Linked DNA regions of Rhinolophus ferrumequinum. The protein of the gene in region 1 purifies or fractionates together with the protein of each later gene. This does not show direct contact. Links are inferred from orthologs where the notes say so. Each region holds a gene or a part of one and is shown on either strand. Other genes may lie near its edges.

Evidence for each region.
Region 2: the proteins of CASP8 (region 1) and FASLG purify together in Homo sapiens (co-immunoprecipitation; 8 studies listed by BioGRID and IntAct, with this or other methods). This does not show direct contact. The link is inferred for Rhinolophus ferrumequinum from reciprocal best matches to the Homo sapiens genes CASP8 and FASLG.
Region 3: the proteins of CASP8 (region 1) and TRADD purify together in Homo sapiens (affinity purification with western blotting; 6 studies listed by BioGRID and IntAct, with this or other methods). This does not show direct contact. The link is inferred for Rhinolophus ferrumequinum from reciprocal best matches to the Homo sapiens genes CASP8 and TRADD.
Region 4: the proteins of CASP8 (region 1) and NOL3 purify together in Homo sapiens (affinity purification with western blotting; 3 studies listed by BioGRID and IntAct, with this or other methods). This does not show direct contact. The link is inferred for Rhinolophus ferrumequinum from reciprocal best matches to the Homo sapiens genes CASP8 and NOL3.

The regions. Positions count from the first base shown.
Region 1 is NC_046291.1:30,096,161-30,103,731, reverse strand, and holds the start of CASP8 (caspase-8), read left to right. Parts: upstream 1-4,450; 5' UTR 4,451-4,545; intron 4,546-4,891; exon of another isoform or gene 4,892-4,976; intron 4,977-7,571. UniProt on the Homo sapiens protein: Thiol protease that plays a key role in programmed cell death by acting as a molecular switch for apoptosis, necroptosis and pyroptosis, and is required to prevent tissue damage during embryonic development and adulthood.
Region 2 is NC_046305.1:8,088,401-8,096,316, forward strand, and holds the start of FASLG (tumor necrosis factor ligand superfamily member 6), read left to right. Parts: upstream 1-4,872; 5' UTR 4,873-6,246; coding exon 6,247-6,585; intron 6,586-7,155; coding exon 7,156-7,201; intron 7,202-7,916. UniProt on the Homo sapiens protein: Cytokine that binds to TNFRSF6/FAS, a receptor that transduces the apoptotic signal into cells. Involved in cytotoxic T-cell-mediated apoptosis, natural killer cell-mediated apoptosis and in T-cell development.
Region 3 is NC_046298.1:16,895,258-16,902,841, reverse strand, and holds the start of TRADD (tumor necrosis factor receptor type 1-associated DEATH domain protein), read left to right. Parts: upstream 1-4,370; 5' UTR 4,371-4,873; exon of another isoform or gene 4,874-5,054; intron 5,055-5,076; exon of another isoform or gene 5,077-5,257; intron 5,258-7,584. Other genes in the region: FBXL8 (F-box/LRR-repeat protein 8), read right to left, coding at 1,458-2,430, 3,164-3,360, 4,002-4,082. UniProt on the Homo sapiens protein: Adapter molecule for TNFRSF1A/TNFR1 that specifically associates with the cytoplasmic domain of activated TNFRSF1A/TNFR1 mediating its interaction with FADD.
Region 4 is NC_046298.1:16,903,246-16,910,792, reverse strand, and holds the start of NOL3 (nucleolar protein 3), read right to left. Parts: upstream 3,017-7,547; 5' UTR 2,614-3,016; intron 366-2,613; 5' UTR 354-365; coding exon 59-353; intron 1-58. Other genes in the region: HSF4 (heat shock factor protein 4), read right to left, coding at 3,810-3,961, 4,261-4,381, 4,466-4,531, 4,629-4,734, 5,275-5,502, 5,628-5,755, 5,997-6,099, 6,627-6,691 and 3 more.

The DNA.
Region 1 (7,571 bases):
TATTCACCCCCAAAGTGATGTGTTCCCTGCGTTTTACACTATCAACTGCATTATGTGTTTTTACTCATTAAAGTTAAAAATATTTAATTTTATGATTTGTTCTTCCTATGGCATTGTAAACAAATAGATTTGTTTTAAAATGTGTTCCTGTTATGTGGCTAACTCTTTGACTTTGTAATGAGAAAATAGAGAGCATCAGAGCTTCATATACCCATAAACTTCAAAAGAACAAATTGATTCATTTTATATCTCAATGTCTAAAGAGAAAGAAATGCAGCTTTGGTTTTTAGTTAAACTTTAAATGTTCGACCATTCTTGAATTTATTCTTTTAAAGTTTTTAAACTGGATATGCCAGCTTTGTTTTTACATTGGAACTCAAAGTTAATGTTTCTTATCACTTCATTTGAAAACCAGTAATTCATTTACTCTTGCCCCAAACTACACACTAATATTTCTGATATATTAACAAAATAGAATTAAATAGGAGAAGGTGGAGGAACTGAAATTCAGACCACTCCTACTCGTAGCACTAATCAAAACTTAATACGTCCTCATTTATTCAAAGTGAGCTTATTCTGATTTTTGATTGATTTTTAAAACCACAACTTAAGAAATAACAATCAGAGTACCCAAACACTGCCCTTTCCCTTACGGAGAACAGTCTCCAGTAAAAGCTGCATATAACAAGCAATAACTGAATTGAATGGTTGTATACTATTCATGAAACGTTTTTTAAGACTTGTATATGAATTGCTTTTTACAAACTCTGTATAGATTTTAAAAGGCTGGAACTACTCTTACATGGACTAGACTGTATTTTTGACCTATACATATTTTTGTAACTTGAAAAAAAAATTGCCTTGTTTTTTCAAAAAAAAAAAAGCCCTTATGCAGTTATGGAACAGAAAAATACGTTTTTTCCCAGCTAATTTGGTGAGGTGTACATAGCCTTGAATCCACAAGCACAATGCAGTCAGGGCCCTGAGTTCATTGGGTCAAACATTTAAATTTAAAAAATAAACAAATAAAACAAACAAATTGATTGAATTTCTTATCTCTGTGTGCGAAAGACCTATCCAAGCTTAAAAGGAGTTAGAGAAATTGACAAAGGAATATAGAAAAAAATGATATGAAGATGAAGTATTTTGGTATACCTCACTATTGACCAAATAGAGATCAATACTAGAAATAAAATAGATATGCTTGAATATCCAATAATTTAAAAACACACCCACTCTCTCTCTCTCTCTCACAAATAAAGCAAAAGAAAACAACAGAGTTGGAAAAATATATGTGCTAAAAGAAAAATAAAAGCTGAAGAACTCTATATCAAGAATTCTTCTACCCAAAAAATCTGAAAACATCTACACACAAAGACACGTGTGCTCCAATGTTCATTGCAGCTTTGTTTACGGTGGCCAAGACATGGAAACAACCAAAATGTCCTTTGATAGATGATTGGAAAGAAGTTGTGGTATATATACACAAAGGAATATTATTTGGCGGTAAGAAAAGATGATATAGAAACATTTGTGACAACATGGATGGATCTTGAGAATATAATGCTAAGCGAAATAAGTCAGAGAGAAAAAGCAGAGAACCATATGATTTCACTGATAAGTGGTATATAAACCAAAAACAACAAAAGAACAAGACAAACAAATGAGAAACAAGAACTCATAAACACAGACAATAATTTACTGGTTACCAGAGGGTAAGGGGGATGGGGGTGGGAGATGAGGGTAAGGGGGATCAAATATATGGTGATGGAAGGAGAACTGACTCCGGGTGGTAAACACACAATGAGATTTATAGATGATGTAATACAGAATTGTACACCTGAAATCTATGTAATTTTACTAACAATTGTCACCCCAATAAATTTTTTAAAAAAAAGAATTCTTATACATTAAAAGGCCAGTACCCCATATCCATTTTATAAGTGACAAAAATAGATAAACAGTCAATTTATACACAAGAAAATTTCTGTTACTGAAGCAGTTATGGAACATAGAAAAAGACATGTCACCAACTAATTTGGTGAGGTGCACATAGTCCTGAATCCACAAGCACAATGCAGGCAATTTATTTTTAAGAAACTTAGACTGTGTAAGAAATCCTATAATCATCTCAAAAGATTCTGGGGGAAAAATGTTTTTATAATTTAACACCCCTTCCTTATTTTAAAAAAATGCTAGGGAGCTAAGATGGAAGGAAAGTGCTAAAATGGAAAGAAGGTAGATAAAAACATCTACCAGAAACCTAAATTAAAATTCATACTCATTAGGGAGACTTTGTAAGCATTCTCATTAAACTCAAAAACATGATAAAGTTGTCTGTTAGTAATGCTATTGTTCCACACTGTTCTGGGGAACCGCCCCAATTTAATAAGTCAGACAACTTAACAAGTTACTTTCACATGTATATCTGATGTGGGGAGGGCAGCTTACCTGTGAGGTTGACCAGGTAAAGCTTTTGTAATTGCCGATGTGTGGGCCTGAAAGATCACACATAGGATTTTGGCCTGGAGCCAGACTCTCAACTTCATCCTTTCAATTTTCAGAGTCCAAGGGAAATACATAGGCTACCTGATCACGGACCATAATGGGACTCTGAGGGACTGTGTCAAGAACCAGGTAATTAGTCTGAGATCATAATTAATATCACTCCAAGTAGGATGATTAGACCTGCCTGGAGGGTTGAACATAACCATGAGCCCCAAAGATTGCCAGGTCAGGAAAAGAAGTCTGATAGTCCATCTGGGTCTACTTCAGAGATCCAGGAGGCTTTCTATCTAAGCCTGGTGATGGATTGTTTTGTTTTGCCAGCCTCATTGATCCAGGTACAACACAATGTGTCAGCAATTGCACAGACCCCACCTTGGCTGGCCGCTGGAAGTTGAGGGCTATTGCAGGTATTCAACACTACTTGGGCCAAGGAACTGAGGCTGATCTGTTGTGCCTTCAAAGCTAAAGTAGTGCCATGAATGACCTCAGCAAGAGTCAAAGACAGGTTGTCTTTCTAACTGAGGGAACCCAACAGTGGAAATAATTACCTGGAGTTGGTAATGCCCCTAGTAATTCTCCTGAATAACCGGGGTCCCCCTGGTCTTGGAGTTCCCATCTTACTCAGTGTAGTGCAATATGCTCAATGGGTGGGACTGTTTTGAATATTTGGAAGTCTCTTACTAATGCCCCCTATATATGGATTACATGAATGCCCCATATATATGCATTACATTGCTAGGAGGAAGGCAGGTGAAGGCCTGTGTTTACAAAAGAAATAACAATCCAAAGGGGCCCACATAATGCTTAGAGTGTAAGAGTCATTGCTACCATGGGACTCTATCAGCCAGAAGTCACTCCCAGTGGGCAGGGTCCTTGAGTGGAACTGAAAAGTCTGTGTAAAGTGGGGGCAAGTGTAGGGGAGGAGACGGCCTTCGCTACTGAGGTCAAAATCGCCCTGATGGTGGATCCCATTCCCCCTGTTGAGATGTTCCAACTGCCCTGGTCTGACAGGAACAAGTTGACACCTAGGAAGGCGTTTGCTCTTGCATTGTCAGAGTCCAACTGTGGCAGCACATTGGATCTAGAATAATAAGGTTGGGGTCGCTGAGGTACCAGAAAGGTCCATGTTTAGAGAAATGCCCATTTGTAGTATTTAGCAGCAGCACAATCAGCTGTTTATCTGTGGGGTCAGGTAGGGGGTGACACCTCCAGCAGTTTGTCAAATACAGGGCAGGGGCAACTTCCGGAACTGGGTGATGTCAAAGTCACACAGGCTTCTCTGTGGGAGAGAGGTTAGATCGCCACTTCTCCGTTTCCCATGACCAAGCTCACAGGTTCAAAGCTGCTCACATCCCGTCAGTTGGAGGGACTTCTCCCCATCAACTGTGGGCAGTCTCTTCTGTACCATGAGAAAGGATAGCACCTTTCATCCATTACTCAAGGTGGTGAACCCTTATCGTCTGCCTTGGATCCTCTTGTAACTCAATAAAGTCCCAACTAGAATGAATGAATGTCCTAACTAGAATCCTGGAAAAATAGATGTCCTAAATGAAAAAAAGAGCACACCATCATGCACTCCTTAAATACTGAACTGAAAGTGATCTTAGAAGTTTTCTAGATTTTCTAACTTCCTTCTTTTGGAATGTAGAAATTGGACGGAGAGCTAAATTGAACTGCCCAGATTCAAGTCTGGGTAACTTATGCTCTGACCTGTGCTCTCTCCATGCCGTAAAATGGCCTGTCATGCGAGCACGATACAGAAAACCTTGTATTTCATTTTCTGCTTAGAGCCCCACCCTCTCACACTGACTTGCTGAATCTGTTCCGCCTGTGGAAATTCCAGAAGTTGCACTCACAGGAGCGCTAGCAAAATGCCCTTCATTTGACTTTCATTATATTTTTGGAGGCGTTTCTTGGCAAGAACACATTCCAGAAAGAAGCATCTGTATTTACCTTTTGATAAATTTATTTAGAATTTTAAGAAGGAATCAGCTTGTTTCTGGAATTGTCTAGGCTGGTGGCCACTTGGATATCCAGGTAATACTTTTCTTTTAACTTAATATATATAAATTTCAGTTTCTCTTGCAATAAACCAAGAGCACATTTGGGACGTTGAAACTTTCAGGCTGGAGATCCTTCCTCTTGGCTCCATTCTTTCCCCTCAGCTCTGCCTTTTGCCAGGGATGGCTGGATTTCGCAGAATTTCCACTAGCACAATGTATTAATGAATAACAGCCTCGACTTTTGAGCTCCAAACACCCTACTTCCTTAGTCATGGTAACTGATTCTCTCTTTTCTACTCTAAATAATTAACAAGATAAAGAAAAATATCCAGAACAATATAATAGGAAATGCAGGGCAAGAAAATCATGGGGAACCTTACCTTATGGGTTGACCATGCTGGCTTGCATGAAGATCCTGCTTAATGGAGCTCTGGTGTGTAGCAGCTTGTGTGCTGAGTGAGTGTTTCATCAGATTGGGTGGGGACGTGGCTGATTGAGGCGGCTAAAGTGGCAACCTTATCAGTTTAGGTTTTCAGCCTGAGTCTTTCAGTTAATATTCACTTCAAAACAAGAGGCAAATTTTCCCTCAGAAAATCATTTGAAGGCTTTTCACTTTGGAGGTGTGGATTCATGATATTGAAGGAGCTGGAATGCAGAGGAGACGCCATTCTGTGATTGGCAATGTCGTTAACATTTCTTCTTCTGTTCTCTGGCCTGCCTTTTTACTCTCTTAATGGTATCATCTTCTGAACAGAAGCTCTTAATTCTAATACAGCCCAGCTGATCGTTCTTTCCCTTATGGTTAACTCTTTTTGTTTCCTATTTAAGAATCTTTGTTTACTTTAACATCATGAAAATGTTCTCTTAGGTTTTCTTATAAAAGTTTTGTTTCTTTCCTTTTTATATTTAGGTTTATGATCCATCTGGATTTGAATTTTCTGTACGTAGGAGATAAAGGTTTATTTTATTTATTTATTTATTTATTTATTTATTTATTTATTTAAACAGGACTTTATTGGGGAACAGTGTGTACTTACAGGCCTTTTTTCCAAGTCAAGTTGTTGTCCTTTCAATCTTAGTTGTGAAGGGTGCAGCTCAGCTCCAGGTCCAGTTGCCATTACTAGTTGCAGGGGGCGCAGCCCACCATCCCTTGCTGGAGTCGAACAGGCACCTTGTGGTTGAGAGGACGCGCTCCAACTAACTGAGCCAGCAGGGAGCTCAGCGGCAGCTCAGCTCAAGGTGCCATGTTCAATTTTAGTTGCAGGGGGCGCTGTCCACCATCCCTTGCGGGAGTGGAGGAATTGAACTGGAAACCTTGTGGTTGAGAGCCCGCGCTCCAACCAACTGAGCCATCTGGGAGGCAGCTCAGCTCAAGGTACCGTGTTCAATCTTAGTTGCAGGGGACGGAGCCCACTATCCCTTGCGCGACTCGAGGAATTGAACTGGCAACCTTGTGGTTGAGAGCCCACTGACCCATGTGGGAATCGAACTGGCAGCCTTTGGAGTTAGGAGCATGGAGCTCCAACCACCTGAGCCACCTGGCCGGCCCAAGGTTCATTTTATTTTTATTTCTTTTTTAAATTTAATTGGGGGATATTGGGGAACAGTGTTTCTCCAGGCCCCATCAGCTCCAAGTCGTTTTGTCCTTCAATCTAGTTGTGGAGGGAGCAGCTCAGCTCCAAGTCCAGTAGCTGTTTTCAATCTCTAGTTGCAGGAGGCGCAGCACACCATCCCATGCAGGAATTGAACCCGCCACCTTGTTGTTAAGAGCTTACACTCTAACCAGCTAAGCCATCTGGCTGCCCCTCCAGAAGCTCAGCTTTCTGCTCATTGTCTTCAATCTGGTTGTGGAGGGTGCAGGCCACTGGCCCATGTGGAAATTGAACCGGCAACCCTGTTGTTCAGAGTTCGTGCTTTAACCAACTGAGACAGCGGGCCACCCCCAGTTCATTTTATTTTTATATGTTACTATTTATCATAAAGATCATCTTTTTTTTTTCATTTCAATGCAGTGTCATCTTTATCCATTAATCAGGTGATATTATATGTGTGAGAGTTGGTTTTTTTAAGTAACAGACTTTATTTTTTAGACTAGTTTTAGATTCACAGAAAAGTTGAGCAGAAAGTAGAGTTCCCATATCCTCTCTCCTTGAACTTTCCTCTATTATTAACATCTTGCATTAGTCTGGTACATTTGTTGCAATTGATGAACCAATATTAACACATTATTATTATTAGTTAAAGTCAATAGTTTACATTAGAATTTACTGTTTGCATTGTACAGTTGTCCTGTGCTCATGTCATGTGTCCACCATTACAGTGTCATACAGAATACGGTTTCACTGCCCTAAAAATCTCTTGTGTTCCACCTACTTACCCTACCTCTCCAACCTCTGGCAACCACTAATCTTTTTACTGTCTCTGTAGTTTTGCCTTTTCTAGATGTCATATAGTTGGAGTCATATAACACGTAGCCTTTTCAGACTGGCTTCTTTCACTTAGTAATATGTGTTTCAGGCTCCTCCATATCTTTTCACAGCTTGATAGTTCATTTCTTTTTAGTGCTAAATAATATTCTATGGTATGGTTGTACCACAGTTTATTCATCCATTCACCTACTGAAAGACATCTTGGTTGCTTCCAAGTTTTGGCAATTATGAATAAAGCTGCTATAAACGTTCATGTGCAGGATTTTTGTGTGTAGACATAAAATTTCAACTCTTTTGGGTTAAGAGTCTTGGTTTACTGGGAGCATAATTTCTGGATTATATGGTAAAAGTATGTTTAATTTACCAAACTGTCAAAGTGGAGTACCATTTTGCACTCCCACCAGCAATGTGTGAGAGTTTCTGTCACTCCACATTCTCACCAGCATATGGTTTTGTCCGTGTTTTGAATTTTATTGCATCTAGAAGATGTATGGTGATGTTTCAGCATTGTTTTAATTTTCAGTTCCCTAATAACGTGTTGTTGAGCACTTTTTATATGCCTTTTTTGCCATCTGTATATTTTTTTCATGAGGTGTCTGTTCAGATGTTTTACCCACTTTATAAAAGGGGT
Region 2 (7,916 bases), on another chromosome or scaffold:
TGAACGGAAAGGCCCGTGTGGCCATGGTGTGGTGAGAGAGGAAGAGAGTAGAGTGAAATAAGTTGGAGCGTTAGGAAGAGCCCAGATAACACAAGGGCTTGGAAATCATGAGAAAGAGTTCAGATTTTATTCTCAAGGCAATGGGAAGCCACAAAAGTGTATTTTAAACAGCAGACCCACATGATCAAATTTAGTGGCAATTAAACGAGTGACAAGGCCCTTTTCAGAGAGAGGCAGAGAAAAATGCAATGTTGTCAAACTTCCACCGTAAAGTCAGCAGCAGGCCCGTGGTACCTGCAGTGTCATCAGGAGATGGGGCACATAGTGTCACTGAGTGAGGTTGCATTGATTCCCCCCAAGGAGTCCCGTTCCTGACCTGGGACCCTCCTGCCTTCATGAATTCGGTCAGCATGTATTTGTTGCGACTTTTACCCAGTGAACAAATAGGCACCGTGGACTGGTGGCAGTTATTGACTGGAAGTCGCAGTTCACATTTAGGTGCCTTCACACTATGCTCTCCCCTTTGTCGGTTCCTGTAACTTGTCTCTTCCTTTGCCTAGTGGTCACAAGAAGCTTGTTTCTTCTAGCTCTAGAGCATCATACTATGCCTTATGATTTCCCTACAACGTACCTATATGTTTGTAAACAGTCCCTTTTATTAAGCCTGTTTCAACCTGCCCTCATGTGAGTGTTCCATCTGTTTGCTGATGAAATCCTGATGCTAGAACAGGAAGCTTATTGACAGAAGTGATACGTCAAAAAAACGAAAACTTGAGGAAAACATCACACTTGTTGTGAAAAACTTTAGATGCTCATGATCACAGTTATTGTTTCATATAGTTCTCAAGGTTTGAGACAATACAAAAAGAAAAGAGAAAGAATGAGGTATAAGCATTGGAAGGGAGGATTAAATATTGTCATTTCCCCCCCCCATAATATATATGTACATTAAAAAAAAATCAGAAATCCACAGACACACTAATCAGAAGTAAAAAGAGACTTCCACAAGTTTGCAAGATTCAAGATTATTTATTACGAAATAAGGAGCATTTATTTAAACCAGTAACAGCCATCTGTATTAGTTATCTATTGCTGCCTAACAAATAACCCCCAAATGTAATGGCTTAAAATAACGTGTATTTATTATCTTACAAGGTTTGTGAGTCCAAGCTAGACTTAACTGGGTATTGTGAACTAAATGTTTGTGTCCCTCCAAAAATCATACTCAAAACTCTGCATCCCAATTCGATGGTATTAGGAGGTGGGGCTTTTGGAAAATATTTAGGATTAGATGAAGTTATGAAGGTGAAGTCCTCATGAATAGGGTTAGTGTCCTTTTAAGAGTCCCAAGAGAGCTTGCTGCCTCTCTCTCTTCCCCCAATGTGAGGCTACAATGAGAAGCCAGCCATCTGCAATCCAGAAGCCGCAGTCTTTTTATAACTTAGTCTCAGAAGTGCTGTCCCATCACTTCTGCTATATTCTGTCAGTTAGAAGTGGATCAATAGGTCCAGCCCAGACTTAAGGGGAGGGTATCCTAGAAGGGCACAAATATCAGGAGGTAGGAGAAACAAGGGGGTCATCTTAGAGGCTGCCTACCACAGAATAAAAACAAAATGCCACAGAAAATAAGACACCATGTATAATCACAACATTACAAAGCAATTAATCTAAGAAAGAATGTGTGAGACCATCCCGGAGAAAATTGTAAAGGTCATATAGAAGACATGAAAAACGGTGGATAGGGTGGAAACGTTGTAAAGATAACACTTTCCCCAAGTTAGTACAATTAAACAGTGCCGCAGGTCATTTTGGGAACATGGTAGTTTGTTTTTCCTAATACATTAATGGGAGGTTAAATATACTCAGGCAGCTAAGTCAATTTTGAAAAACAAGAGCAATAAGGGGGAATTTTGCCATAACTAGCTCTCAAGACAGTCTACAAGGCTGTAATTATGAAAACTGTGTGACCCTGGTCCTGGAATAGAGAAATCAATGAAACAGAAATAAGAGCCCAGAAAAAGACTCAACTATATGTAGAAGCTTGGTATGTGGTAAACATACCACTGTTATTCCCTGGGGGAGAAGATGGATGGTGTCGGGAAAACTGGCTCAGACATGGAGAAAAACAAACATGGATTTTTATTTTACATCACAAATAAAGGTGAACTCCAGATAGATTGAAGCCTAAATATGAAATTTATGACAGTGTGGCAGAAGGTATTTTCAATGTCGAAAAGTAGCCACAGATTAATAGCTAGAATATGAAGTGCAAGGAGATCCTGTGACTCAGTGCAGAAGAGATAAATCCAATTAAAAAATGGGTGTGATGTATGAACAGGAAATACAAAAGGGAAAACCTGACTGTCTGACGAGTATATGACAAGATGTTCAACCTCACAGGAAACCAAAAAAAAAAAAAAAAGGAAAATTAATAGGCAAGATACAGCTTTATAACCACAAAGCTTGGAAAAAATTAGAAAGGTGGATAATACCACCAAACAGAGAGGCAGACATGGGACAAGACAGTTATGCTGTTGGTGTTGGTGTCAGCAGACTCAGACACTCGGATGAGCCGCCTGGAAGTACTTTGTGAAATGTACAGGGTAGCGTCTGTGTTTGTGAATAAACAAGCTCCCGCTAGGAGCCTTTGCTCACCTCGGGAGACGATCAGCTGCTGTTTTCACCATGCACCACTCTATGCTACTGCCATGCAGGACCATTTCTGAAGGTAATTCCAATTCTAGAGGGACCATAATTAAACATCATTTGAACTTTCAGCTAATGAGGTAAGATGCTTAAAAGTTTTGAACACGTTTGTACAAGGCGAGTTCTCTGATTCGGTCCGACACTTAAATTTGCTCCCAAGTCTCACCCACAGCCATTAAATCTCTGTGACTGGCAATCTTACCCCTTCCCCTGAAAGAAATCTCCAGCTCGGAATCTCTCTCCCCTGTCCATTCTCAAGGACCCTGGTTCCAGAATCAGAGGGACAGGTGCAAAGTAGGCAGGTAGGGTGAGACTGAGAGAGGCCCTTCGGTCTGGGTTCCCCACGTGGAGGGCTGCCAGCCTGCCGGCTCTTTGATTCATTAACTCAAAGCCTCTCTTTCAGGCAAATATATATTCTTCTTCAGCAATCACAGAGCTGAGATCCACTTTGCACAGATTATTTCTGCTAATTAACAAGGTTCTGATAGTACCCCAAACGATGATGGGTGCCTGTTATTGTTTGCAGGGGTGTTTATGTTCCCATGATTTTGCCATCCTGTGATGTTTGGTGGCATTACCAAAGAGCGATGCCAATGTGGAAAGGCTGCTCCTTTGTCACTATTTCAGTTCAGAGTCGCCCTGAGATCGGCGGGCTTTGGGTGGTTCGGGCACTTACAAGGATTCTGATTTCTCGTATCACAGAATGAATCAAGAGAAGAATCAGGGCAGGGAGAGATGTGAAAACACAGCATAATTTTTACTGAAGAATGCTGGAAGTTTCTGTAGGAGAGTGAGATAAAAAGCAGGGGGTGGGGAGGGGGGTCTTAGCCTGAAACACAGGGGTCCGTCTGTCCATCAGTTCACTGGTAGAATCTGAGGACACTGGATGTCAGGCATTGACTTATACTTTTCTCTGCAACCTCTTTCCTCTTCTTTTATCCTTAATGGAGGAAGGTCACTTACATTATGTCAATAGTTGACGTGTATGTGGGGAGATTCACTGCACTGACAATAACGGCTTCTGTTCAGTGCTTACTTTGGTGCTAGTGACTGTCTCCAGTGTATCAAATGCTTTGACTCATTTAATCCTCACCGTGCACTCTGCAATGGGTACCATTGTGATCGTGCACATTTTTCTAGATTAGAAAACTGTGGCACAGAGGATGGAAAGTGACCTGTCCAGGTCACACAGTGAAGTTGGAAGAGCTGGGATTTGAACCCAGGCAGTTTACGTCCAGAACCACACACCCATAATCATCATGCCACACTCTCTTTCTGTCCTCCCTATCCAGAATGGTGGGATTTATTAGAATCTTTGCCATTTTGGGTAAAATCTTTATAGTTTAAAAAACATTGTTCTGCGTAATTTGTGATAGAGTTATTTCAGGATACTTTAAGGTTGGTTTTTAGTTTTGGTTTTTGGTGTGTTTTTTTTTTTTTTTTTTTTTTTTTGCTATTTTTCTTGTTGCATGTATGGTGGAATTTTTACAATTAAATTTCCAGGTTATTACATATTAACTTTAAACTTACCATTTTTCATAACTGTGAATAAAGCCATAAGTGAGTCCAAAAGCACATTAACTCTGCCCAACTCTAAAATACAGTGAGAACGTTGTACAGTCACTCTGGTCTCATGCATCTCACACTTGTGTGAGGGGAGAGTAGGATGTGGGCAGAGGGTCTGGAGAGGGGGCAGTGCCATTTGTTAGAGTACTAGTTGTCGGAGTCAGACTATAAGGAAGCCCGTCTTATGCTAAAGAAGAATCTGGATAACTCCTGTTGTCAAACCTTCCAACAGAAGGTTTCGGTAAGCAAGTGAGATAATTAGATTTTTTAAAAAAAACATCATTCTTGCAGCATTTTGCAGGGTGACTTGTGCTTGGGAAAAGCTGGTGGTAGAGAGACCAGTTAGGGTACCATTGCAATATTTCAGGTGAGAGATAATGAAAGTCTGACCTAGGCAATCGCAGCAGGAAAAATGGAAGCGGAGAAGGTGCGATGGGAGGAACATGTCTCAGATGAAATCCACAGTCCTGGGTGACTAGTTAAATGTTGGGGGAGAGAAGAGCGAGGAGTGGGAGTTGTCACCAGAAAGAGTGACCTCAGGTGAAACAGGTTGTACAGGGCGTGAGGGAGGGGTGGGGTGGGCAGAACATGGCAGGGAAACATGTTTGGTGTTGGTTTGGTACAGGTGAAGAGCCAGAATGCTAGTCACAGAGATGCCAAAGCATGATACAGAAGCTAATGAAATTGGAAAAGTATAGCCCTCCAATAAAATGGCAACATAGGGATTTATGGGAGGTTTATATGGAAGAATGATTATGACTGGAGCTGAGCTCTTGGAAGTTACTGGCATATCAGTGGTACCTGAGGCCGGAGGGAAAGGTGGGGTCAGTCCAGATAGAGTTGCCATCTTTAATAAAAGACAAAGAAATAGGACAATCAGTTACATTTAAACTTCAGATAAACAATGAATACTTTTTTTTAAGTATATTCCATGTAATATTTAGGCCATACTTATCCTAAAAATTATTTTTTGTTTATCTGAAATGAAAATTGAGCTGGGCCCCATGCATTTCCCCTGATAACCATAACAGTGGCTGCAAACAGAAATGCCTATGGGACCAGGAAGGCACCCATGGGAGGTGCTGTGTGGCGGGTGGAAGGTGGTACAGGTGGGGCAGCCTGGAGCACCGATGTCTCATCCTTGGGGGCAGCTGCTGCCCTGCTCCAGCTGATCAGGTTCGCAGACATGGCCTCAAGGGTGTCCAATATTCTAATGTTTCCAAACAGAAGAGAAGTATATATTTTTAATGTGAAATATCCCAATTTTAAAAGAAGACGACTAATGAAAAGCAAAAACATTGTGAGGCACAGAGCAGGTCTGTGGGTTCCCCAAGGCACAGGGGCCACTGCTTTGCAACCTCTGATCTAATCTTTGCAGAGTGGGTGGGGAAGGTGTTTAACCTGCAAGTTACAGTGCTTTGCAAAGTCAGGGTGCGGGGAAGGGATGGCAGCAGGCCGATGACTCCCTCCCTCATGCAAAAGGTAAAATGTGAAAACGACGCTTGTGGCCACAACTCCATGGTCTTGCCCCTCAGTGTCTGAACGCGTCCCATGGCCACGGTCGCCATAGCTGGGCAGTGGCCAAAACCACAGAGGGCTGCACCCCGTTCCACCTGCTCTCACAGGGCTGGAGAGACCAGCCTATCCCACCAGCCTTTCAGGTAGCAGGAGCAATCATTGGGGCTCTGAAGGCTTTCATCAGAAAATTGTGGGTGGCAACTTCCTGGGCTTTGTGCTGAGAGCTTCTTGAGGCTTCTCACCTTCAGATGCAAAGTGAGTGGGTGTCTCTCTCTGAGAAGCAGAAAGAAAAAACGAAAGAGAGGTGTTTCCCTGGGCTATGGAAACTCTATAAAGAAGGAGCTGGCTTCCCCTCCCTTGGTCAGTCAGAAGCAGAGGTCCCCTCCTTGATCCCTGGGACTCCCCGGGATCGAGAAGGAAAACCTTTGCCTGGGGCGTCCCGAGTCACTGGCTGCCATGCAGCAGCCCTTGAACTACCCGTACCCCCAAATCTACTGGGTGGACAGCAGTGCCAGCTCTCCCTGGGCCCCTCCAGGCTCAGTCCTCCCGTGTCCGTCCTCGGTGCCTGCAAGGCCTGGTCAAAGGAGGCCACCACCACTGCCGCCGCCACCACCACCGCCGCCATTGCCACCGCTGCCGCCACTGCCACTGCCACCTCTGAAGAAGCAAAGGGACCACAGCGCAGGCCTGTGTCTCCTTGTGATGTTTTTCATGGTGCTGGTGGCCCTGGTTGGATTGGGCTTGGGGATGTTTCAGCTCTTCCACCTACAGAAGGAGCTGGCTGAGCTCAGAGAGGTAAGCTGGCGTGTGGATTGCTGTGCCCTGGAGGCACGGGGGGGTCACACAGCTCTGTCACCGTGCAGGGGTCCACGGGGACCGCAGTCTTGCACAGGGCTTTCCAATCCTTGCTTCCTGTCTCAGAAATGGGTCGTTCTAGACATTTTATTCGACAGAGAATTGCAGGTGGTTCCCATGAGGAAAAGGAATATTTTCTGTTGGGGAAAGAAAGGATCAAGGCTGTAATAGGAATGGCAGGGACAGATCTTCTTGTGTCCTGTGACAAGTCAGCCTGCTGAGCCGCGTACTTGGTGATCCGAGAAAGAAAAAGAACTTTGAGTCTTGTGTAGAAGTGAATCTGTTCAAATGGCCCATCTTCATATTTTTGTTTCTTAATGCTTAAAAATATCGGAACTATTCCGAATCACAAAGCTGAGGCATGGGGAGGCACAGCGGCTCGGCCAAAGTCAGAGTCAGGAGAGCTTCTGCGGTAGTTAGAGTCCCTTTCCAGGGCTGGGTTTAGTTGATAATTCTGCCTCTCGCTTAAAGAACTTCATGTTGATTATGTGTCTTTTTCTTTTTTGCCAGTCCACCAGCCAAAGGCATATAGCATCATCTCTGGAGAAGCAAATAGGTGAGTCCTTTTATGCATGGCCATTGAGCTTCCAAAGATAGCCCTCCGTGCTGAACCATGTGGGTGGAAGGCCTTGAATTGCAGGCGGCTCCCATGAGGAAAAGCATCCATTCCCGGGCACATGCATGCTAACGGAGCAATCCTGGCGAATTCGGAATCTCTGGTCATTTGGGTTCCTTGAGCTGCCCTAACCTGTGAATGAATTTTACTGTGCAAAATCAGTGTATCTGGGTACTGCACACCATTCAAAATAATTCCCACTGGCCTTTGGGAAGAGATGCACACAAGTACATCCCTGGACCTTTGCCCCTGAGCAGCTGGCCCCAGGCTAGTCCCCTTCCTCCGGCCTCCTGGTTCCCATACACAGGGTGGTGGCTGTAAGTCCTCAGGAAAAGGGGCAGTGGAGGAAGAGAGCGATGTTTATAGGAAAGGTTTCCTCCTCTTTAAACTCTCAAAGATGTTACTCAAGAGCCAAGAGTTTTAAAACATATTTTATAGGATATGTTTAAAAGCTTTTTTTAAAATAAGTGCAAAATCAGTCATCCACGTAGGATGGTTCTTTTGCAGTCACTAGAAAGCTTGGGGAAAGACTCCAGCCATTATTCGAAGGGTATTCCAGCTTCATGCACAGAGGCAATCGTGAGCTACTTTTAGCAATAAAGGAAAATTCTTTGTATGAGACCTAGAACAGGGAGAGGATGGAAATGTTGAGCAA
Region 3 (7,584 bases), on another chromosome or scaffold:
GGCGGGCGGCCACAGGAAATCCCTACCCCAACACGACCCAGACTCCTTACTCGGTTCCCGGGAAGGAGGAGCAGAGGCCAGATCTGGGTCCCAGCCCTGCGATGTGACTGAGCTAGAACCAGACCCAGGCCTTCTCGTTTGGTCTGTTTTCCGATCTCTCTGATGACATGGGATGGGAAGTAAATTACCACAAAGATTCCTCTGGCTCTAGGTCTCCAGAAAGCTCCCACCCTTTCCTCGGCAAGGAGGAAGTCGCCTCACCTCCATCTCGCACACGCCCTCCAAGATAAACTACCCTGGGCAGCTGAATTGAGGGACCCACAGCCGCATCCCAAGCCACGGTTGGGTGGGTATGGATGTTCACTGACGTTGAGGGATCCCGGGTACCACTGGGGGAGTCAAAGGGCCCCAGCCCTCACCGGGCTCCAGCGGATCAGGTGGTCGGTGCTGGAGTCACCCACCAGCGTCCACAGCTTGCCGAGGAAGGCAGGCACAGGGCTGGGGCCCGGCTCCGTGGGCAGCGCGGCTGGCGCTTCCAGCATGGTGTAGTTTCAGCCTGGCAAAGCTCTAAGCCCGGGCGCCGCGGGCTTGTCAAAGCCGCAGAAAGTGCTGTGTTTGCCTCCCGCCCCGCCCTACTCCGCCTCCGGGAGCTGGGTCAGGTGGGGGCCACGTGCGAACCCGCCAGGCGGGGCTCAGACCCGGGCCTCAGCACCAGCAGACCGTAAGGGCAGGCTGGGATCGGCTGTGTGTGAAGGGGTGCGGTGGGAAGGGAGACCTGGGTTCGAGTTCCACCCTTGTCATGCCTGCTGTTTCCCGTTTTGGGGGGAGGGAGGGGAAAAATAGCTGGTATGGGCTGGCAAAGTCCTAGATAGAAGGCGATGGCTGTGGGCAAAGTGAAGCCCAGAGTAGAGCGGGCCAAGAGGGATAGGGAAGGGAGGGGGTGAGAAGTGGACACCTTTCCGCCAAACCGTGGGCGGAATTCCAAGAATGCGGGGTGCTGTCGGCCCTGACTCCCGCAGCAGCATCAGTACACTGGAACTTGAGGTCTCGATGTTTCTCATCCCTGTCCAGACGGCTCCTCGGGCCTCTGCAGGCTCCCCTCCCTCCCTCTCCAGAGCCGACCCAGGCTTTCACAGGATGCAGGGTTTATTTCACTCACTCCTGATGTCCGGCCTGCGCCTGTGTCATCCCCTCCCACACCACACCCGGGCTGCAAAGCTAGCGCAGCGTTTGCAGAAGACGGAGGCTGGAGGAGGGTGGTCCCAGTACAGGGACAGTGGGTGTCGGCAGATGTCGAGAGCACCGAGTGGACTCATGGACCACCCACCCCATCCCCAAGAAGCAACGGAGTCCTGAAGGAAGGGCTTAGCAGTTGGCGTGTGCCCAGGCAAACCCACCCAGCATCTTAGAGGCCACACATCAGCTGGGGCAGGGGGTGGGGGGACGGATTCGCCTTATCACGCCACAAGCATGGGCCTCCAAGGATGTGGCTCCCGCGTTAGTTTAAGAGTGTAGCTGCGCAGGTGCGGGCAGTGAGCACGAAAGGCCTGCAGAACCGAGGGTCGTACCACGCAGAAGCAGTGCACTTCGCGCAGGCCCGCGCAGCGCGCCGCCAGCAACTCCAGGGCGGCGTCCAGCTCCGCAGAGGCGGCGGCGCGCACCTCGAGCACGCGCAAAGTTGCAGCGTAGTGTTGCGCTGCGAATTCTAACGGACCTACGGTGTCGGCAGAGAGGCAGAGGCGCAACGCAGCCACCGGTACTGCAGGCTGCAGGATGCGCCTAACGCTCTCAGCAGGCAGTGCCGGTTCCAGTTCTAGCTCCACGGACAGTCCAGGGTGGCGGCGGCGCAACGCGGCCCAGGCGTCATCAGGGAGAGGGGGTGCTCGTGCGTCCTCGGGGCACGCGCATCGCAGGGCCAGGAGAGCGAAAGGCGCGCGGTGCGGCGCCGTCAGCGCCTCCAGGGCTGTGTACGATAGGCTGGCTAGGGGCAGGCCGAGGGCGCGCAGGCACGGGCAGGCCTCTAGTAGCTCAAGCACGGACCCCGGACCCACGCTGCCCACCAGCGTACTGTTGTTCAGGAAAAGGCTGCGGAGCTCGGGGCAGCCGCGTGCCACCTGCAGCACTAGCTCGTCGTCTAGAGTGAAGGGCAAGCGCCGGAGGTCAAGGTGATGCAGCTGGCGGGCGGCCCGGCAGATGGCGTGCACAGCGTCCAGGACGTCGCGGCCCGCATCGAAGAGTGGTTTCTCTCCACGGCACTCCAGGCAAAGGCTTCGAAGCCCCGGGGAACGTCCCACCAATGCGGTCAGCAGCTCCGTGGCCGCCCTGCGGCTCGGCTTCTTCGACGGCTCAAATTCCAGGCGTAGGTTGTGAACATGTTTCAGGCAGGCGGACAGATATGGTATCAGTATGCCTTCTCGCTCACAGTCACAGCTTGGGGTTACAGCGGTGGAGAAAAGGCATCAGCCATGTCCCCGCGAGCCGAAGAGAAGTCTCTACCCATTCGTCTGCCTGGTGGCCAGATACCATCCCCTCTTCCCTACCCACACACCTCTCTATCCCTACCATGCCTGGTTGCCCCAAAGTAGCCACTAATGCTAGGAGGGAACACCCATCCTAGCAAATCACGAAGACTTCTGATGGCGTCTGCCACAAGCTGAAACCCTGGCAGGGAGAGCCAATGATATTTTAGGAACTGGGCTTTCTCAGCTGTCTCTAAGGAGGTGGGGCATGACCAAGTTCATATTCCGCCCGTCACTCCTTAGCTGAATGATCTACAGGACGTGATTAAATCTCTGCCTCAATTTCCTATCTGTGCAATGGAGATAATAATACTACCTATTAATATATGTAAGGCACTTAGAACAATGGTTGGTACATACCGTGTTTCCCCCGAAAATAAGACCTCACCGGAAAACAAGCCCTAGCATGATTTTTCAGGAGGACATCCCCTGAACATAAGCCCTAATGCGTCTTTTGGAGCAAAAATTAATATAAGACCCGGTCTTATTTTCGGGAAACACGGTAGTAGGTGGCTAAGAAAGGTTAGTAATGATTATGCTTTTTAATATGGGGAGAATCACTGAATCTCCCCAACCCCTGACTCTACGGAGAGAAGGAGAAGAGGATAGGGTGGCAGGAGGAAGGAGGGGAAAGGCCAGCTTACCTGATGTTCGTGTCATGCCACACGGCACTGCAGGTGGCAGCAGCAGCCCAGGCTCTGCAGACCCTGGCGGCTGCCCCACGGTCCCGCAGGGACAGGTGGCGAAAGATGAGCGCCAGTACCTCCTCAGGCAGTTGCTGTCCAGACTCGGCCATTGCCCGGGGCTGGGTGGGGGCTGCGCTACTTCCAGCAACTCCGGCCTGGAGAGAGAGGGACGTCCCTGAGCTCAGGAAGGCCAGAGTGTTGAAGGGAACACCGGAACTTATGTAGGAACTTATGTATACTCGTGGCCCAGAAGCCGCTACATAATTTGCAGCGCAAAATGAAAATGTGGTGCTCTTTGTTCAAACCATTAAGAATTTCAAGTCAGTGACAACAGCATTTAAACAAGTTATTAAATCAAGCATAGGGCCCTGTGCGACTGCAGAGGCCTCAGACCCATGAAATCGGCCTTGGATGCCGAAGGATTTCTGATTCTCCTTTAAACTACGTTATCACTTGTTGAAAATAAAAATGCCCATTTTATGCAGTATTAGAAGGAACGCAACCATGCCCTATGCGCAAAGTTGATACTGCCGAATACCCGGCTTTTGGACGATGCTATAGGATCTTCCCGCCCAGTTACTAAAGTCTTTCATGGGGAAGTTGGAGGGCGCTTGCACAAGCCTTGACTCTGGACAACCCAGTCCTCCCCACCCCCCAGCTCAGAGAAGACGCCTCGCCTCCCCCTGCTTCCCTATACACGCACAGAGCTGCCAGACTAATCGTCCAGGGGTCACAGAACTGCTTCTCTCCCAGCTTAGACCCTGAGTACTAAGAAAGGACTGGGTCCAAGCCTCACCAGAAGGGCCACTGAAATCATTGGGCTTCTCAGACAGCGCGGGGCCAAATAATCACCCGGACACTTGTTCACAATACACATTCCGCGGACCCAACTACAGGACTCAATCAGGTTCTCCGGAAAGAGTAGGCAATCTGAATTTCAACAAACGCCAGTTGACTCCGCAGGTCCCAAGTTGAGAAATCCGTCCTAACCCCGCCAATCACAAGAGAGTGACGACAGGGTTAATCGGGCAGCAGCATTAGAGATTTTTAATTGGCAGAGATCATAAGCCAATCAGAAGGCGGGGACTCGGGTGGGGCACCGTTGAATCCGCCCTAAAAAGGGAGGCTCCTTCCCTTCCGCCACTTCGCTAGGGAGAGGTTCTGAGAGCTTCCAATGAAAGGCCGGTGGGAGAAAAGCTTAGGCCGGAGGGGCTCTGGGTTCAAGTTCCGATCCTGACCTCGGAGCAGCCCAGAATTCCCGTGGGATTCTGCAGATCCAACCCGAAGTGCGGGCTTTCCCTGGCGGGCGTCGTTGGAAAGTGTGCGTCCTCTTTGAGGTTGCCAATTTAAAGCTGCTTGAAGCAGCTTAAATGTTGTACACAACATTTAACACCACCTGCCGGTTTTCTATATTCCCGTATTTTGCAAGCTAATGGTCCTTGCTGGAATTTGCACGTGTATCCTGGAGCTTCAGATACCTTCGGACAGGCTTGAACCTGGGATCCACCAGCACCCCGTTCTGAGTGTCAGGGAGTAGCAGAGTTCCTCGAGCTCGAACCCTAGAAGGCACCAGAAAATTCTGGTCCCCAGGGGACGCCCCCTTGTTAATTCATCCGTTTTCCGCCGGAGGAAGCGGGGCTGCTCTCATCCTGGAGCTCTAACGGCCACGTAAGAACCGCAATCCCCTTTCCGCGGGCAGTTTTTCCTACCGTCTAACCTCGGGTGTCTTACCTGCTCAGTGGACCAGGTGAGCTTTGCCCAGAGGCTGGGGACTCGCGGTGGAGGAGTGGGCTAGAAGGAGAGGCGGGGAGTCGGAGGGGCGGGACGCCGGGGCGGACGGGGCGGCTCGGACTGGGGCGCCGCCTCTGCGCTCCGCGCACACCCGGAAGCAGCACGAGTCCAGTGGAGCCCGGCGGGAGTAGGATCGGGGCCGGGCCCCGGCAGCCAGGTTAGTTGAGGGGGGGAGGGGCCTTCCCGGTGCGGGAGCTGAGGTGGATCCTGGCTCAGGAGCGTTGGTGCGGCGCGATTGTCACCAGCGGCTGCCCGGGCCAGGTGGGTGCGGCGGCCTATTGGGCTGTTTCCGTGGGAGGCAGGAGAGAGGGTACTGACCTTGGCCCCCGCAAGTTCCAGGTCCCAGCTAGGGGCTTTCGAGAGGCCGCAGGGCTCTGGGGGTGTGAGGGCGGGGCTGGTTCTGAACGGATCTGTGAGCGGAGAACCCTTGCCCGCCCCAGCCAGTAGCGCCTGCGAAACACCAGCATGAAGGTGGTCTAGTGGGACGCTGGGGAGCTTCTCTCGAGAGCTCGGAAGCGGCGCAGCTGAGCAGGGGGCACGCCTGCCTGGATACTGGGAGCCCAAAGCTTTCAGGCCGTTGCCGCCCACCTGGCTGGCTGGAGTAGGGGCTGCCTGGGAACTGTTAGACTGTGTTAGTGGGGCGCTGGCCCCTGGTGGTAGAGGCGTATTTTCTTGAGTCGGTACCCATGTGTCCGTCAGTCTCAGGTCAGGTAAGCGTTTCCAGGCCCAAAGAAAGGCGGACTCCGGGTGGGTTTGCGCGGGGCTTCCCAAGGAGGGGCTTCTGTGGAAGGACATGTAGGATGGAATTCCCAAGGGGACGACGGGAGCCAAGGGCTCCAGCCGACCTGTTTGACTTCTCCCATTTGTCCAGTCCTGTGAGTGTGATGGCGCATCCCCCACTCCTCCAGGTTTCCAGTACCCCCTGGCAGGTCTGAGGGGAAAATTCGGCCCAGTCCCGCCCCCACTTCCACCCCTTGGGCAGGACCATATCCATCGGGTCAGCACCCTCAAGTAAGGGGGCTAAGAAGACGTGAAAGAGAAAGAGGAAATGTTTCCAGGACAGGTTCCTACACTCTTCTGCCACCTGGGCCACTCCCCCAGGGGACCCCAGGGGACTACAACTCGTGGTCTCACTTGTCACCTACAGAGTGTCTCACCTTTTTTTTTGGCTTTTTAAGAAAAACATTTGCCTTTTTAATACAAAGGAAATGTGTCTACTTTATAGATAGAATATTGTTAAATACAATGAAAATTAAAATCCCCCAAATCTCCTCCCACCCCCATAGACTACTGTTTTAGGTAAATACACAACTATTAATATGTTTTCTATCAAAAGGTTACAGGCAGCTGAGGGGGGGACTCAAAAGGCGTGTCCCCTGTGCTCAGACCCAGAGTAGGACCATCACCAGGTATCGTTTCTCTTGCCAGGTCTGAATGATGCTGGAGGGCCCCTCCCCAGTTATTGTCCCGGCTTTGGCTCTCAGGTTAGGGCCTGGGGGCAGATCTGAAACAGCCTCTGCTTTGAGCTCAGGATTCCTGCTCCCTCCCCAACAATGTCCAAAGCTTGTGGTCCTGGCTCCTTCTGGTACCTCTCCTCTGAGGTTCCCTGTCCCTCATGTAAATGGATGCCAGCCTATCTGCCCTGCCCAGGGCAATGATGTCCAGGGTGCTCACAGCTAGGGCTCAGCACTCCCTCCTAGCCCACCACATGTAAGTGCTGAATACCAGAGATTGAATAAGTGTGGTAGATGGGGCAGGAGGTGGGGTCTTGAACCTATGTTTCAAGAGTGGGACTCAGGTGAGGGGGTGAGGAAGAGGCAGGGCAGTTTCCCACCTACTGCCTCATGGGAGGCCACTGAGGCTCAGTGCAATGGTTACCTGGCTGGGAATTTTGCCCCTTAGCCCTCAGGATTTTGTCAGAAGATAGATGGAGGAGATTCTATCACCAAGGGGCCCTGGCTCTGTCCGGACAGAGAAGAAATCTGTAATAGAACAAATTGAGTTGCATAAGACAAAAGCCCAGTTTCAAGGACTTCAGAACAAAAAGGAATGATTTAGCTCACATACCGTGTTTCCCTAAAAATAAGACCTAGCGAGACTATCAGCTCTAATGAGTCTTTTGGAGCAAAAATTAATATGAGACCCGATCTTATATAAGACCCGGTCTTATATTATATTAAGACCGGGTCTTATATTACATTTTGCTCCAAAAGACATTTTAGAGCTGATGGACCGGTTAGGTCTTATTTTCGGGGAAACACAGTTACTGAAATGGCCAGGATGCAGCTAGAGCCAGGGGCATAGTGTGGTTCTGAGTGCACCTCTTCATCTCTGGGTTCTGCTTTCTGCTGTGTCAGTTTCATTCTCAGCCAGGCACTTCCCAAGCAGGGCCAAAGGAGACCCACCCTTCCAGCTCAGCCTCGAAGGGAAACCACTCCTCTTTCCTATTGGTCCAGCCAAAGTGGCAGGTTGATGTAATTGGTCCAACTTGAATCTATCCAACTCTGAGCTAATCATTTCAGAAAGATGAATGGAATATCCAGATTGGCCAGGCCTGTTTTACATGCCCACACCTGGACTAGGGAATG
Region 4 (7,547 bases), on another chromosome or scaffold:
GCCATGCCCCCTACTCTGACCTAGGTCCCGCCCCAGGTCCCGCCCCGCGCGCGCTCACCAGTGCCCACATGCTGCCAGTCCCAGGTGGGGTCGGGCGCGCGCGCGGTCCGCTGGGCGCAACGCAGTAGCTCCTGGCAGGCGGCCTCGCCCTTGCTCTGCACGACCAGCAGCAGGCGGCGCACCCTGCGCTCGGCATCAGGCAGCGCGTCCAACGCCTCGTACTCGGGCCCGGTGAGGACGCCCCGCGCCAGCAGCGCATCCAACAGCAGTCCGGAGTCCGCCTGCAGCGTCTCTACCAGGCGTTTCCGTTCGCGGTCGATCGTCTCCGAAGGCCTCTCCTGAGCGTTGCCCATAGTCAGGGCTGCCTGGGGAAGGGGGAGAGAGGTAGTGGGGGCCGAAGCTCCCCCGCTCTTGACCTCGCTCCCAGGGCCTGAATGAACACTGGTGGCTGGAGTCTTAAATTCACCTCGACCCCAGCAGCGGGACAGCTCCGCAGCACCGTACTCCTCGTATTCCTGCCTCTACAGCCTCCGGTCTCCTCATCAGGCTTCTCCTTGGGTCCCTAAACATCAGCTGGCCCTCCTCTCCTCTCCTCCACTCTCCCAGGACCCTTATGTATCTATGACCGCTCACACCAACCAGGACTTCCCTCCTGAGCCCCAGCTGCCTGCAGACATCGCGATCTGTTCAGACCCAATTTATCCAAACCAACTTCTCTTTCCCAAACCTGCTTCTCCACTTTAACAGGCAAAGACCCACACCCAGATAACAGTCAAGTCCTTTCCGTTCTATCTGCTGAATAATTTCTGTCATCCTCATCTCTTTCATAGTCTAGGCTTTCATCTCCAGCCTAGACCCTGGAGAGCCCTGAATCTCCTCTGCACCCAGAGCACAAAGTGCTGGGAGCCTCCCCTGCTGCTCTCACCCACTGTAAGAAGTCCAGATCTTTTATCCTGACCCTGAGGTCCGTCTTTCCAGGACAGGCTGTGCCCCTGCACTCCCTACCCCCCCCCCCCCACTAACGCTACCACCATGTTGCAACCCCAATATGGTCGCATGGCCCTTCCTGGTTCCTTAACACCTGAGCAGGATACCTAAATTCTTTTGAGTCCTAGCTCTGATCAAGATCTTCTGACATCACCTGAGACTCAACTGTCTCCCTGCTGCCCTGGGAATGACTCACAGCCATCTCTTGCTTCATCTTGTACCCAGGGCCCAACTCGTAAAAGCTACCAACAAATACTTGCCGAACTTTTACTGTTTTCCTCCATGGATTCTCCCATTTTGAAAGACTGTCTCTACCAAACAGGAGGTGTTAGGCAGAAATTAACCTGCTCTGTCCACTAAGGACAATGGCCCATCTCCTCTTGGGTGGCCTGACCCAGACAGCCAGGCTCCTGGCATTAAGGGGCAAAGAGGTCTGCCCCTGTACCATTCCTTCTCTCAGCCCATTTCCACATAGCATCCTCCCGGTCTCATCCTCCCTTTAGGGTCCCTCCTCTACCTCCTTTCTTGGCTCTAGATCTGGGAGAATGGATTTGGTCCTAGCCCCCATCCTGCCTCCCAAGTCTCCCTCACTACGACCTGGTATCATGTTATGCCTCCCTGGTCATATTGAAGTGTCAGCCCTTCCCCTAGGCCACTGCTCAGAGACCAGGAGTACCTCCTGCCCCTCCCTCTCCATTCATGTTCCATCTGTGACAAATGCTGCTCTTCCACTTCTCACTGAGTCTCTATCATCATTCCCCCACAAACCCTCATGATCATCTCATCTCCTATGACAGTCTCTCTGAGTACCTCTCACTCTCATCTCATTACCCCGACAGCACAGTGATTTTGACGATTCTCTGGGGCAGGATTTACTTTCCCCATTTTACAGATGAGAAGACAAGCTCAGAGAGACCAAATGGCAGACCTGTAATCTGACTTGCTCCAGTCTGAACTACAATGAGATCTCCAGCCAAGCAGAATTTCAGCCCTTACTACCTGCTCCCCACTGTCCATCAGAGAGAATTCAGACTATGCTGCCTGGCTGCTCTCCCACACCCCTGGACAGCTAGGCTTTCCCCAACTTCCCTCCACCACTCAGGGCTGGAAGAACTCCCCAAGCCCCCGGTACTTCTGAATCTTTGCAGATGCTGTTCCCTAAGCCTAGCATACCATTCCCCTTCCTCCATGCTGTGGACCCATCCTCCTAGACTCAAATGTCCACTTGTCCACCCCAATACCTGAGTGTGTCATAGGCAGACCGATTTTATCTCATCTCCTATTACACCAGTGAACAGCAGATTCCCTCATCACTGCGCTGACCGTACTGCACTGTGTACCCGCCGACCTCTGCCCTCTTTGAGAAGCTGAGGCTTCCAAAGCTGACCCCCAACCAGGGGTGCAAGAAGGGTGAGGGGATAGAACCTGGTCTTATACCGGTGCAGAGAAGGAGGGGGCCTAGCGGATTGGTCCCTCATCCTCCCTCACTCTTCCCCAAATTAGTTTTATGTTAGCCTCCTCTTCCCATCACGCCAAGTCCTGTCCTTTGTCCTATCTTGGACACAGAAACCCCAGATGGTCTGGGCCCTCCCTCTGAGACTCACTATTCAGAAGTAAATACTGTACCAAGTTATATCGCCGCCAGTCCTTCAAGGGTCACAGGCCAGATTCTTCTCGGGGCACCAGGCAGCTCCAAGTTCGAGGCGTGGAGGGGAGGGTCTCGGCCCCCCTCGCCACCTGGCTGCCCGTTCTCTTTTGCTAGGGAGCGAGGGTTGTGGGAAACTGCGAGAGCCTTTGCACAGGTGCGACCACAAGCTCCCCTGTTCTCCCCTCCACTGGGTCCCAGAATTAGTCCCACGGAGGGGCGGGGCTCACAGACCTAGTAGCGCGGCTGGTTAAGGACGCAGATTCTGCCCAATCTCGGTTTCTTTTCCCTCCCCCAACCGTATGGGATAGAGCTCCAGGTCCGGTGAGCTCCGGGCGGCCCGACTCACGCACGGGTCGGGCCTCGGCGGGTCAGGAGATGACGAGGCAGAAAGGGCTGGGCGGGGTGGGGTGTAGGAGTGGGAGCAGCAGCTGTGGCGGGGGCGGGGCGGCCAGGGCTGCTGGGAACCGGGAGGGGCGTGGGGAGAGCGGGCTGTTCTCCCAGCTGTAGAAGGCAGGTCGCCCGAGGCCGTGTTTCGCCTGGGCTCTTACACGTGGTTCTCTTTCTCCCCCCACCCGGGGCACACTGAATGAGTCAGCGAGGGGGCAACGCGACCCACGGCCCCGGCTCCACGTACCCGGCACCCACTCCGGACCTGGCAATTCCCAGGTTCTTTACCCCTAACTTCTTGTCGACCCCTCTTCATCTGTTACAGATAAGGCTCAGAGAAGGGGACCAGCTTATCCAGGATCACGGAGCGGATGCATTGCGGAGCTGGGTGTGAAGCCCAGAGCCTCCACTTCCCGGAGATTGCAGTGGCTACGCACCAGCCCTAGATCCAGGCGGGAGGATCCGGGCCTAAGCAGAACTAGAAGCCGGCTCCCCAAGCACTCCACTCTCCAGGGGTTTCTCCATTAAAACCCTAGGATCTGGAGGCTTCTACGAATGCAAAGTAGCCTCCATACACCCATGACGTTTGTGCTCCCTGGTCGGTAGAGAAAAGAAACTAAAAACACAGGGGAAAAATGCGGTTTATGTGCACGACTTGGTAATGGGAAGGGGCCACCGAATTGTACGGTCTTGGCTCAGCCTCCGCCAGGGGGCGCCGGGAAGCCGAGAAGGATCTGCGGCTGCAGGCCAGCCCCTCAGTCAGGCTGGCTTCAAAGTGGAGAGCTGCTCAGGGAAAGGGATCAGCGCCCGGGACCAGATAGGAGGCCCGGCTCTCAGGGGGGCTGTAAATGGTTAAAGCTCCAGGCAGGCCGAGAGCTGGGCTTCCCAAAGCCGCGTGGACGTCCAGCAGGAGTGGTGCCTCTATAGTGGAGTCCTTCCCTACGAGGAGTGAGGCTATTATACTCAGCAGGGAGAAACAGTTCCCCCTTCTTGGTCACCCCCTCCTGTCTTCAGGGAAGGAGAGCCTCACCTGCCTTGCCATATAGTAAGTTAGGATGAAACATCCATTCTCAACCTCCCCACACTCATCCAGTGGTAAGGGGATGGGTGGCTTTAGTAGCTCTCTGCAGGCAGCCTGAACTGACGTCACTCAAAACACAAACAGCCCGGTCTATCCAATCACCATAGCTCAGGCCATTCAGGACCTCCCCCAGGTCCCGAGTCACCACAACCATTACCTGGGTCTGGAGAATTTAACCCCTTGACCGCCAGCTCAGTCTCACCCTTCTCTGGAACCAAGGGTTGCATCTGCATAGAAGAACCCCAGGAAGCAGTTGGGGAGGAGAGCTGGGGCTCTAGCTGAGAGAGAACAACCATGGACCAAAGGGCTTGGCTCAGCAACCCATAACCGCCTAACCTCCTCCCTCTCCACCCTCATGTTACCAGAGACAGCTCCATGTCCAAGTCCATCAGGGTCCATTCCTTCCCTTGGAGGCTGGGGCCCAGCACCTGGGGGAAGCTCTGGGTCAGTGGTGGCTTCCCCAGGCTGCACAAACAGCCGGACCCCATCAAGTACCATGCCCCTGCTTGCTGAGGGTGTACTCACATCCAGGGGCCCTGCAGGCTCCACACTTTCAGGAGGGGCCCGAAGTAGCATTGGAGACAGCAGACTCTCTGGGCTCTGGCCCCCCCTTTCCAGGCCCAGAGGCCCCCTGTGTACAGAGAACTGCTCTTAGCCTACAGTACCCCCCGCCCAATTAGGTTCCCAAGGAACCTGGAGACATCAGGATCTAAATCTGACAATATATAGAGAATGCTAGGAGAGGACCCACCGTGCATGTGCGCATGCACGCACACACACAGAGGGCACATAAGAGTGCCTTTGCTTCCTAACTTTGGCCTGAGGTTTGGGTTGTAGAGCTGGGGACTTGGGATATGTCCCCTCCCTATGCAATTGTCAATACCAGTGCTTCCTAAACTGATGTGTACATTACAATCTTTATAACCACCCCAATGATCTCATTTAAAATGCCGATTCCTGAGCCCTACCACAGGATGTTTCCACTTTCCAGGACCTCTGATGCTGGTACTCCTTAGAGCAACTCTGAGAAATCAGGTCAGATCATAGTGCCCGACAGCCCCCCAGCCACCAAAGGGTCGACAAGGCTGGGGAGTTTCAGGGGCCTACTTAGTGCTGGTCTAATTGCAAAAGTGGCCCACAGGGCTCAGTCAAGAATGGGCTCTCTGCTCACCTGCCAGATACCTCCCTGGGACCCCTTGGTTCAGGCTGTTGGGCATTCCTGGGTCCCTCAGGGCTGAAGCTCTCTTTCCCTTCCAGGATGGCCTGCACTACAGCCACAGGCAGCGCTGGGGGGGCTGTCACGCAGAAGTCACACCCATTTGGGGCCAGGGCCAGCCCAGCCTCACCTTCCCCTGCTGGGCTGGCCGGCTCTTCTTTGAGTAGTGCCAGGCCCTTCTCCCTGCACCAGAGAAAAGCTTCAACCAGACCCTGGCACTGACTTCTCCCCTACCCCCCACAGCTATCTGTGCTGCCAGCCCCTTCCCCACAGGCCCCCAGAAGGCTGCCCTTGTCTGTCCTTCTTACCTCTTTCCACCACTGGAGGGAGAAAGCCTGGTCCCTTCAGGGGATGGAGAGTCTTCTGGGATGTCAGAGATGGTGGGACCTCTGGCCCTGTAAGGGCTGCTGAGTCCCAATGTGGTCTCTGGGTGGGGCTGTAAAGAGAACACTAGGCCCAGCCCTTCACCCGAAGCCACAGGGTGAACCAGAACCCAACCAGTACCCACATGGACCAGGTCTAAAGGGGAAGGTTTGAAGTCCATGCTGGGGAGTCTGGTCTGGTGTGAGGGGGGAGAGGCTGGCCTCCATCTTCTCTTCTTGTGGGGGAAATGGAAACGAATAGGCTCTTCATAAGCTCAAGGGTACCCTAGGGAAGGGAGGAGAAGCAAAACCTACCAACTGGATAAAGTAGGGGTCCTGCAGGAGGGCACCAGGCAGGGGGCAGGCACCGAATTTGGCCGGTGTTGGACATGAGCTCCCCTCATCCAGCATCAGGGACCTGTGCAGGGTAGGGGAGCACAGGCAGGGCTCTGGGAAGGTTCATCTCCCATGCCCCTTAGCCTGTACCACCTCCCTCCCACAGGCCCCAGCAGCCAAGTCAGCAGAGCTGAGGCCTGTTGCCAGGGCATCAGTCACATGCTGGACACAGAAGGGGCTCCCCCCAGAGATGGAGGCCCTTTGGGGTTAGAGAGAGGAGGGAGGAAGCCTGACTTGAGCCCCAGACCCTCTGATGTTAGGATGCTTTTGGGTGAGGGGGAAGAGGCTGCTGGGGTGGAAATTTGAGGATAAGGTCCTAGAACTGAGGGATCTGAGTGGGGGATTTGGGGGTTTTGGTGGTGAAATTGGAGGAGAGAGGAAAAGTCCTGGAAGGAGGTTCTTGGGGAGACGGCTATGGGGTGAGAAAGACTGGTGGAGGGGGTGAGAATGAGGATTCTTGATGAAGAGGTTTCTGGAGGAGTCCCTCCAGCAGGAAGAGCGCTGAAAGAGGAGGTGCGGAGGGTGAGTGTCCCTGGCTTTCTCACTCACAGCTTTCTCTTAGCTCCTGCACTGCTGGACCCTCCCTGAAGTGGCCCAAAGAGGCACTGGATCAGCTGAAGAGGAAGTAAAGGGTTAATTCATCCTTTGGACCTTGCCCCCACCCTAACAAGGTACTTCCAGGTAGGTTAGAGGACTGGGGGAGGGGGATATTCAGGGGGAGGAGAGAAAAGTGGGGTGGGGGAAGAGAAATACCTTGCCAATGACACGATGCTGCTGACCGTGGCTCTGCCGCAGGGACACCACCTCCCTCCATAAGATGTCGTTCTGCCTGGGGGGAGGCGTGGGAGGGTGCGGAGGCATCTGAGAGTTCGCCCAGTCACCACTCCCCACACAATGGCAGGCCCCAACCTGCGACCACCCGGATAATCATCCATCGAGAACAGAGTTCTACAGCTCGGCCCATTTGTTTGGATGGAGGCACCAAAGCGTGAGAGGAAGGAGCTGCCCAAACCGCCTGGCAGCCAGTGTCTTCTCTCTCAGACCCCCCTGCCCCCTCCCTGCCCTCCTCCTGCTCTTCCCCCCCTCCTCACCCCCCCTCCCGCTCTTCCCCCCTCCCCACCCCCCCACTCCCGCACTGCCTGAGCTCCCGCAGCCGCGCCTCGGTGCTCTCCTGTACTTCCCGCAAGGCCTGCACCTCGCCCAGCAGCCGGCCCAGGTCCTCAGGGCGCCAGCGGCCGTCGTCGCTGCGCAGCGCAGGCACCTGCAGGTGGGAGGCACTGTGGGGCCTGAGTCGCGTAGAACAGGGCCAGCCGCCCCAACACCCCAACCCAAGTTGTGTGGTTCCTGCACGCCGCCTCACCTTGCGCCGCACGCGTTCCAGTAGTTGCTCGCGACCGCGCACGAAGCTCGGGTGCTGAAACTCGACGTGGTCGCGCTCAGGCCTGAGCAGGCCGCCCTGCTCGATGCTCA